2 linked regions of the Caenorhabditis elegans genome follow. The protein of the gene in region 1 purifies or fractionates together with the protein of each later gene. This does not show direct contact. Each region holds a gene or a part of one and is shown in the gene's direction. Other genes may lie near its edges.

What was found.
Region 2: the proteins of Y43F8C.13 (region 1) and gda-1 fractionate together in Caenorhabditis elegans (co-fractionation; one large-scale study listed by BioGRID). This does not show direct contact.

What each region holds. Positions count from the first base shown.
Region 1 is NC_003283.11:19,693,383-19,699,590, reverse strand, and holds Y43F8C.13 (Nucleoside hydrolase), read left to right. Parts: upstream 1-2,192; 5' UTR 2,193-2,204; coding exon 2,205-2,235; intron 2,236-2,733; coding exon 2,734-3,094; intron 3,095-3,867; coding exon 3,868-3,989; intron 3,990-4,194; coding exon 4,195-4,395; intron 4,396-4,839; coding exon 4,840-5,042; intron 5,043-5,504; coding exon 5,505-5,603; 3' UTR 5,604-5,691; downstream 5,692-6,208. Other genes in the region: ani-3 (Anillin-like protein 3), read right to left, coding at 265-577, 1,513-1,690, 1,749-1,808.
Region 2 is NC_003281.10:11,024,597-11,028,495, reverse strand, and holds gda-1 (CMP/dCMP-type deaminase domain-containing protein), read left to right. Parts: upstream 1-1,929; 5' UTR 1,930-1,954; coding exon 1,955-2,189; intron 2,190-2,497; coding exon 2,498-2,616; intron 2,617-3,055; coding exon 3,056-3,208; 3' UTR 3,209-3,257; downstream 3,258-3,899. Other genes in the region: Y48A6B.8 (Wsv161), read left to right, coding at 1-94, 139-390, 435-546, 598-670, 726-830, 884-1,042, 1,093-1,162; putative voltage-gated potassium channel subunit kvs-4, read right to left, coding at 3,327-3,443.

The sequences.
Region 1 (6,208 bases):
TAGGCGAGAAAGTCGAATTTTCGGTAGTTTTTTACTTAAAATTCGATATTTTAACAAAAAAAAGTTGGGCAATTCAAAAAATTGTCTCAAAAACCTCAAAAATTTCTGCAAATTTTCGATTTTTATAGGAAAAAATTAAAAATTTGAATTTCGCGGCTTTTTTTTGGACATTTTAGATTTTTTTTTAAAGGAAAAATGTCAAAAATGGCTACAAAATTTGAATTTTTTTCGAATTTATAGCATTTTTGCCGCAAATTTTCGTACTTTGCCACGTCATCATCGGAATTTTCGAAATTTTCAGATTTTTTGGAAATTCCAACGTCATCAGCCACGTAGAGCTCCTCTTTATCCATTTTTTGGGCCAAATTTCGCAATTTCAACGGTGTGGCTCCATATGGATAGGCTCCGCCCACATTTGGAGCATTTTGAGCATTATTCGAATTAAAAACGACAGCCTGGGTGCCACGACGACCATGAAAATGACGTTTTTCGTACGGTGAGATGTATTTTTCCGATTTTTTGGCGAGAATTTCCGGAATTTTGGAGGATTTTGAAGTTGGCGGTGGAGCAATGTGTTCTGGAAGAAAAATGGGTTATTTTTGGCGGGAAATTTCGAATTTTGAAGATCATTTTTGAGAAAAATGTGAAAAGTTGGAAAAACTTGAATTTTTTTTTCGAAAAAAAATTTTTTTTGCAAAAAAATTATCGTTTTTTGGAATTTTTTTAAAATTCGCTCAAAATTCGTAAAATTCCCAATAAAAAGTGAATATTTCGAAAAAAAATTTTTTTTTAATTTTTGAAAAAAAAAAAAATTTTTTGAAATTTTTTTTAATTCTTAAAAAATTTAATTTTTTTCACAATATTCCTTAAAATTAGCTTAAAATCACAAAATTCTAAATTTTAGCGATTTTTCCACCGAAAATTACAGAATTTTAACACAAAATCCGACAATTTTGGTGGTTTTGCTGGAAATTTAGAATTTTCCAGAGGTTTTTCCGTTTTTTCAGGATTTTTTAGAGAAAATTTTCGAAATTCACCAGAAACTCAATGGTAAATTGCCAATTAAAATGAAAATTTTGAAAAAAAAAATTTTTTTGAATTTTTGGAAAAAAAAATTTCTAAAAATTAGTTTTTTGCAAATTATAACTATTTTCTCTGAAAAAGTCCAATTTTGCAAATTTCCACTCAAAATTCAATTTAAACCATAATTTTCATCCGAAAACTTGCGAAAAATCCCATTTTTTCTGGATTTTTCCCAAAACTTTTGGGATTTTCCGATTGTTTTTTCTAAAAAATCAATTTTCCATGTAAAAACTGTATAGTTGGTGTGTTGACAGTGCAAATAAATTAACAATACATGTGAATTTATAAATTTGCATTTGAATAGGAGAAATACCGGGGGAAATGGTTTTTTTTTCTCATTTTCCTCAATTTTTCTCAATTTTCCCCATTTTTTTCCAGTTTTTTCGCATTCCCCTATCGATTTTCTCAATTATCGATTGATTTCCGCACCATTTTCAAGACTTTCAACCCTTTGCGTGGGCGGAGGTGGGGGCTTCTGCTCCAGCATGCCGGAGCACTGATCGAACGCGGCGACGAGATCACGAATTCGGCCGCGTGGCACCGGTTTGCGCCACGTAGCATCTGACGGTGGTGTATCGACGATCGGGTGCGGCATCCAGCGGTAGAACTGGAAAAAATTCGGATTTTTTGTGAATTGTATCGATTTTTCCGGATTTTTGCCCTACCTGACTTGATCCGATTGGCACCGGAGTTGGCGGCATCGATTTTCCGTCGAAATTCTCCATTTTTCGTCAAAAATCTCCGAAAAAACGGCGAAAAACCGTCTAGAAATCGCAAAAATCGATTTTAAAAATTCAAAATTCCATCGAATCCCTCACATCACTGAATTCGTGGCGAGACCTATTTGAAGTTTTGAGCTATGCGCCTTTAAGAAAAACCGTAGTTTTTTCGCGAATTATCGCATTTATGCGGAATTACGGCGAAAAAGCGAGAATAATCGAAGAAAATGCGATAAGAATTGATAAAAAATGATAAGATTGTGTGCATTATTCAGGTGACAGATTGATTTTTGCCCAAATGTTGCGTTTTTTGCGACGAGAAATAATTCATATATTTATTTAGTTATTTTAAGTTTAATTTTTTCACTTTAATAACATTACGCTCTTCAGAAAAAAGACAACATGACTGTGGACAAGGTTAAGCTGGTCATTGGTGAGTTAAACGGAGAATAAAAACAAATTTAAACCAATTTTTGAGTAAAAAATTCTATAAAATTCGTTAAAACTCGAGTTTTTTCTTTTCTTTTTTAAAATTTCTACTTTTCTACGTTCAAATACACCGAAAACGTATTAATTCCGAAGATTTTCGTTAAAACACTGGAAAATTCGAGCTTCCCGCCAGAAAACTGAGTTTGTCATTGGAGCGTGATTGCATTGCTTGGCGATTTAAAAAAACGAGTCTAGACGCTTCAATAATCGATTTTTTCGGATTTTCAGATGATAAACGAGAATTCTAATTTAAAAAAAAACAAGAAGTCTTCAAATTTTCCACTTATTTTCGTCAAAAAACACTTGAAAATTTGAAATTAGCGTCGGAAAACGGACTAGTTCACTGGAGCGCGCTTGCTTAGCGAGTTTTATCGATTTTTAAAGTTTTACATAAAGTTTACCAAATTTTAAGCTTTAAAAACAAAAATTAATCGATTTTCAGACTCTGACGGTGTAAGCGACGACGTGCGAGCCATCTCCCTAGCCTTGCAGCACCCAAAAGCCGAAATTCTCGCATTCACCGCAGTCCACGGCTGTGTGACAGTAGATCAAGCCTGTGCGAACATCAAAAGAACCATCCGAGCCAACGATCGGAGCAATATCCCAGTGTACAAGGGTGCGGCTAAATCGATTTTGTCGCTGCCGAAGGATGATACCGTATCCGATTTTTTCGGGATCGATGGGATCGGTGATAAGCCGGAGGAGTTCCCGAAAGTCGAAAGATCCGATTTTGAGGGGGAGGGGAAGCATGCGTCACTTGCTTTAATCGATATTTTGAGAGAGAATCGGGATGCCACTTTGGTGTAAGTTGAGGCTACAGTAACCCTTCTGTACCCCCACCGCATCCCTACAGTACCCCTACAGTACCCCCACAGCGACCTACAGTACCCTTGCACTATCCCTACAGTACCCCACAGTACCCCTGCACTATCCCTACAGTACCCCACAGTACCCCTGCACTATCCCTGGTACCCCGGACAGTTCCCCTCTAGTATTCACGCAGTAGTGTTACTGTATCCCCACAGTTCCCCACTGTGCCCTTGCAGTAACACTACAGTATCCCTACAGCAACTCTACAGTAACCCTATAGTACCCCGACAGTACCCCAACAGATCCCCTACATAACCCTACAGTACCTCTGGTAACCGAACAGGTACTCACACAATAGTGTTACAGTACCCCTACTGTTCCCCCCACAGTACACACACAGTAACCCTACAGTAACCCTACACTAATTCCACTAAAGCCCTATGGTACCATAACTGTATACCTACAGTATTTCTACAGTACCCCTACAGTATCCCTGGTACCTGGACAGTTTCCCTACCCTACCCCAATAGACCCCCTACAGAAACCCTACAGTACCGCTTCAGTACCCCTACAGTACTCCTACAGTACCCCTACATTACCCCTATAGTACCTCAACATTACCCTTTTAAAGTCCTACGGTACTCCTACAGTATCCATACAGTCCTCCTACATTTTCGCCTACGCCGAGCTATTCTGGGTGTCAAATTTCGATTTTAATCTATTTTTGCTCAATTTTCCCTAAATTTTCAACAAAACCATTTTTCAGAACCATCGGTCCCCTCACAAACGTGGCGATTGCTCTCCAACTCTGCGAGGAGTTTTCGACGTACCCATCCCGGCTGGTAATCATGGGAGGAAATTATTACGCGGTCGGAAATGTTGATGGAGGTAGGTTCTTCAAAAAAAAAACTAGGGTGGACCACTTTGGCGGGCCATATCTCGTTTCATTTTTGAGATATTAGAAAAGTTTCAACTATAAACCTGTTCAGAAACATGTAACAAACATTTCATCAGTTAACAATTTGTTGACAAACCCAAAACCGACGGAGATACAGACCCGTCAAACCCCAAAAAGCCCCCCTAATTTTTCCAGGTTCCTCAGCCGAGTACAACTTCCACGGAGACCCGGAAGCCGCGAGCATTGTGCTCCGACGTATGAAGTGTCCCATCACCATTGTTCCATGGGAGGCATTCTATTTTGAATCAAAGACCCATGATGCTTCAGTTGATTTTTCGGCTCATTTGAAGTATGGAACCCCATTGGCTAATTACTTATCGCTGGCCACCAGCATTGGTAAGGTTTTTTAAAGTTATAACTCGAAAACTAGGGTAGATACTAGATACCAAAAAAAAACTGTCAATTGGAAAGTTGTTCAGCGTAAAATTCTGCATTGATTTGACCCCCATGTCGATAATTTTCAAATTTTCGAATTTGACACTTAAAATTGCTCGCGGAGCTCCTAGCCTTTCCCAATGCTTCAAACGTATTGAAATTTCGTTTTTCGGATAACCCGCAAAATCCTACACCCAGAAAACTCAACTTCCAGCCTTAGCCAGCAGTTTTGTAAAGGGGTCGAAGTGGCTCAACTGGGTACATGTACGGCTTTGGTGAAATAGGTCCGGGCTTCTCGAGGCCCCGCTAGTGTGTCAATAATTTTTTTAGAGTTCGAAGGTCTGTAGATTAGTCAACAAGTACATTTTTTTTTTAGAGTTCCTAAATTCGATTTGTATGTTCCAGGCCGCGTAAAATGCGAGGCCAACGGCCGCCAATACTCCTACTGCGACGAGATCGCTGTGGCTACTGCAATCGATGAGGATAAAATTGCAAAAAAGTCTCAGTACCTGTATGTCGATGTAGAGCTGAATGGAACAAAGACACGTGGGCAGGTTGTGGTTGATTGGACCGAGCAACTGTGGTCGAATGAGGAAGCTCCGAATCAGGTGAAAACAAAAAATCTGGGGTTCTGTATAGTTTTTGAGGCATAACTCGGAAACTAGAAGAGTTATCAAAAAGTTGCCAACTGAAATGTTGTTCAGCGTGAAATTCTGCATCGATTTGACCCCCATATAAAAAATTTTCAAATTTTCAAGGTCGATACCCAAAATTGCTCACGGAGCTTTTAGCTGCTCATGGTGTTCCAAACTTATTTAAAACATGATTTTTGGGTTCCCCGTAGTATTCTACATCAGGTACGGTTGAATTCCAGCCTTAGCCAGCAATTTTGAAAATGGGGCGAAGTGGCTCAGGTGGGTAGATTGATGAGGCTATTGTGAAATAGGTCAGGGGTTCGAATCCCTTTGGGTTTATTAGTATTTTTAATGTTATATACAATAGATATACAACACTCAGACAGTCCAAAATCTAGATATTATCAATTTTTTGTTTAATAAACCAATTTTCAGCACACCCATCGCCGTGTCAAATTCGTCACCTCTTACGACGTTCATACTGTGGACAAGTGGCTTCATGCAGCCACTTCTGGAAGTGGAAAATTCGATTAACTCTTTAAAACTGTAAAATGTCACATTTATTGCTCTTATTTATGGTGTGTGTGTGTGTGTGTTGAAATTTGCAATAAAAAGTTATTTTTTAATGAAAATTATGACTTTTTCGAAGCATAACTCGAAAACTAGAGTAGATATCAAAAAAGTGTCAACTGAAATGTTGTTCAGCGTAAAATTCTGCACCGAATTGACCCCCATTTAGAATATTTTGTAATTTTCGAATTTGACACCTAAAACTGCTCGCGGAGCTCCTACCTGCTCCCGGTGAACCAAACTGGCTGAAAATCTGATATTCAAAATAACCGTGAAATTCTACACCAGGGACACCTAAATTCCAGCTTTAGCCAGCATTTTTGAAAAATGGTGAAAGTGGCTCAACTGGGTAGATGGACGGCTATGGTGAAAAAAGCCAGGGGTTCGAGTCCCCGCTAGTGTCAATAATTTTTCCAGGGTAATGCAACATGCAGGCAGATGTTTTAATGGAGAACATCAGAAATTTCAGCTGAATTTCGCAAATTTCAGGTTTTTCAAATAGTTTTCCGACTAAATCGCAAATAACTGAAAAACTAGAAGAGTTATCAAAAAGTTGCCAACTGAAATGT
Region 2 (3,899 bases), on another chromosome or scaffold:
TCGTCCAAACTTCTCGATCCTACAGTTCGTCCAGGCTCTCAGACAATCTACAGAAGACGAGAAAGAGTCTATTCAAATTGCACAGATGATGATGGCAGGCCGTAATTAATCAATTTCATATCCTAATACTTTTTTCAGTTTAAAATGCAGGATCCTAAGGATGGGAATTACACCGCACTTGCAGCAAACGTGCACACCCTGACATCGAAAATTTCAAAGCAGTTGAACGCTGGATGTATCGTGAAACGAACACTTACGATGAACCACACAATTTCACAAGCTGACGGGTTTCCTACGTGTAATCTCACAGATATTTATAACTCTGAACTCTTGATTGGAGGTGATGCCGTCTCGCAACTTTCAAATTTCTATATGGTTGCCTTGAAAACTGTAAGTTGACATTTTGATATATAAAAATAATAAATTCAATTCAGATGCTGGAGCCTTCTTATAAAATCTGGGCATTTACTTACCGACCAAGCTGTGTTCGCCGTGTTGATAGACATTTTCAAGAGTTACCACAAAAAGTGACAACAGCGATTATTGGTGCGTTTAAGATGTGAACAATTTCTAATCACAAAATCATGTTTTTTTCAGAAGTCGCATTCGATATTGTTGGAGTTTATTTGCCGGTTGAGCTGTCATACGGTTCGATTGATAGGGAGCATGAGTAAGACATGAACCAACTTTAAACAATTTTGAATTATTCATTTCATTTCTTCTAGATTCATCAAAACGCTTGGAGAAGGAGCAGAACTTGAGGTTCAGCGCCGTAGGGACGAAAGAATCACAGTGTTCAAGAACGCAGTAGAAGCCCTTGGCAAAGCAATGTAAGAAATCTCGTAAAAATTGTAAAATGTAAAAAAAAATGATATGATTTCAGGAACAATCTTCGAACATATCACTTTGATATTGCCAAAGGAGCACTATTCAACTGCAATAAACCATCTTATTGCGAGCATCATCTCAAGTGGGGACAGGTTCGAAAGTTCAGAGAACAGCATCAGAGGATGGAAACGTCACCAGAAGAAGTTATCAGATTGTAAGTAACTCAATACTTTTAATCGATAAACCAATACATTTTCATTACAGTGCAACCGGTCAACGCAATGAGCATGATGTCTCCGCTGCTGGACGATCGGTCAAAGACTCCACCCACTGAAGCTTAATTTTTCGTTGTTTTTTTTTTGTAATTGATTTTTGTTGTTAACCCTGTTCATGTTTTGTCCTTAAATAAATATTTTCCACAGGAAATCGTCTAAAGAATAAAGTAAAAGCGCGGCATAATTCGCATCTATAATCACCAAGGTCTTGCCCAAGTTTAGCCCAAGTTTAGCCCAAGTTTTACCCAAGTTTTGCCCAAGTTTGGCCAGCTTCTAATCCATGTTAATTTTTCTTGGGTGAAACTTGGGCAAGAAGCTGGCGGTGAATGCCGAGTTCCCCGCAAAAGCTTCAGTTTTTAATTATTTGATCTACCACCTCTTGCACTTTCCCCTGCCACTCTCTCACCTGATACTAGGCCCCCATAAATTTTCAATTTTCTTCCATTTCTCACAAATTTTCTTATCAAAACCTTTTTTAATTTCTTATCAATTAAATAATCTTACAACAGACATCATACCAGAAAAACCAAAAAAAAAAAGAAAGTGCTCGCGGAGCTCACGTGGTTGGCTCGGGCAGCTGGGGGTGGAAAAGCTCGTCGCTGATAAGGGATCACTTTGTGATAAGACGATGATGATCGTGACCTGTTTCAAAGACGTTTTGCCACTTTCGACGCGAATTTTTGGGTTTTTTGGGGGAAAAATTTGTTGCATTTTGTTGAATTTTTAGAATTTTTTATTTACTTTTTTGGGAGTTTTTTCAACAAAAACCCGCCTGCTCACCTCGAAAATTTCCTTTCTTCGTCAGACCTTACTAATTTTTTTTCAGAACCTTCCCCAACTCCTACTATAAAATGAGCCCATCCGCCTCTGATAAGCCTCTCCCACCCCATCACGCTGAGCACATGGCCGAAGCTGTCGCAGAAGCTTGTCGAGGTGTCGAGTGTGGAGATGGTGGACCATTCGGTGCGGTTGTAGTTGATTCAAACGGGAAAGTGGTCGCAAAAGGCCACAATATGGTGCTGGTCACCAAGGATCCGACAATGCACGCCGAGATGACTGCTATTAAGAATGCCTGCAAGGCATTGGGTAGGCACACGAATATTTAGAGCATCTAGTGATAAATTGACATAACATTTGAATTTTACAACCTCGATTTCCTATATTTCTTAAAAAATTTTTTTGCGATTTTTAGGATTTTTTTTTTCAAAAAAAAAGTTGCAGAATTTTTTCTCGAATTAGAGCAAATTTTTTCACATAATTTTACAAGTTAGATAGTTTAAAATTATTTTTGAAAATTGAAAAAAAACAACGATTAACTATTTTTCTGTTAAAAAATGCTAAATTTTTTCGACGTTTTTTTTCGATAAGTTTTTAATTGAAATTCACGTTTTCAGGAACTTTTGACCTATCTGGACATATTTTGTACACATCTTGCTATCCATGCCCAATGTGCATGGGCGGATGCCTTTGGGCTCGATTCGACGCAATTTACTACGGAGCAACTGCTCAGCAGGTGATTTTCATAAAAACTAATTTTTTACACTATTACTGTCTCTTTAAGAGCTTTTATCAATTTTAGTGACGTTCGGGGTTATTTTTCAAACTTTGGGTTACTGTAGCACCAAAAGTACGCAATACACCGGACCTTACGGCAAAATCACAAACTTTTGAAATTTTACCGAATCTGTTCAAACCAGTTATAGACCTAATCTAGAAATTGCCTGTAAAAATCCATAATTTTGTGCATTTTCTCAAGTTCATTAATTTGTGGAAACCCTTGGAAAAAGTAATTTTCAAAATTTTTTACTAAAAAAATCGAATTCTGCACCTTTTTTCAGTTCAATTTAAAAAAAAACTGTGCATTTTGTCGTAAGCTTTGGTGCACTGCGTATTTTCGGTGACACAGTAACCCAAAAAAAAAAACCTTTTCCAAATAAAACAAGTTCTTCCAGGCGGCCGAGATTGGATTCGACGACAAAGCATTCCACGACTTCCTAAAAGACCCGAAAAGCGATGAAATCCGAAAATTGGAGCATTTGGCAGCCGACAACTACCTACTCCCATTCCAAATGTGGTCCAACAAACCGGACAAGACAGAATATTAATTGGAGTATTTTTTTGAAAATTGTTTCGTTAAATAAAATTTGAAAAACATATAAAAAGACAAATACATTGGGACGGTTGGGGAAAAATTGGCAAAATTGGCAAAATTTCAAACTTTTTTTAGGTAACTTTCAAAATCATTTGCTCGGATTTTGTAGCTTTTGGGTATTGAGATGTTCGATATCGATTTCCACCCGCCGGACGTTCAGTTTCAGCCACTTTCATGAAGTTATCGACCTGAAAATTAAAAAAAAAAATTAGAAGAAAATTTGTTTCCTGGCTATCAAATTTTCTGTTGAAAATCTTGTAATGTGCAGGGTTAGAATTGAAAAAAAAACGTTTTTAGTAAAGAAAAGTGCTCAAAGTTTTGTTTTTTCAGAGATATGACGCATTACGGGTTACTTGTGCCCTAAGAGTACGCGATACACCGAATCTTACGGCAAAACGCACAGGTTTTAAAACGTGGCGCCAATCTGTCCCATTGCGGTTTGATCTACAAAAAATGCGGGAATTTTTTGCCTAAAAAAATGTGAAGTCAACACGTTCTTAACCATGCGAAATCAGTTGAGAACTCTGCGTCTCGTTTCCCGCATTTTTTGTAGATCTAAGAAGATCAAGCCGAAATGGGACACTCTGACACCACGTGTTTACCCAAAAAGCATATTTTGCACAATTTTAAAGTTTTGTGCATGT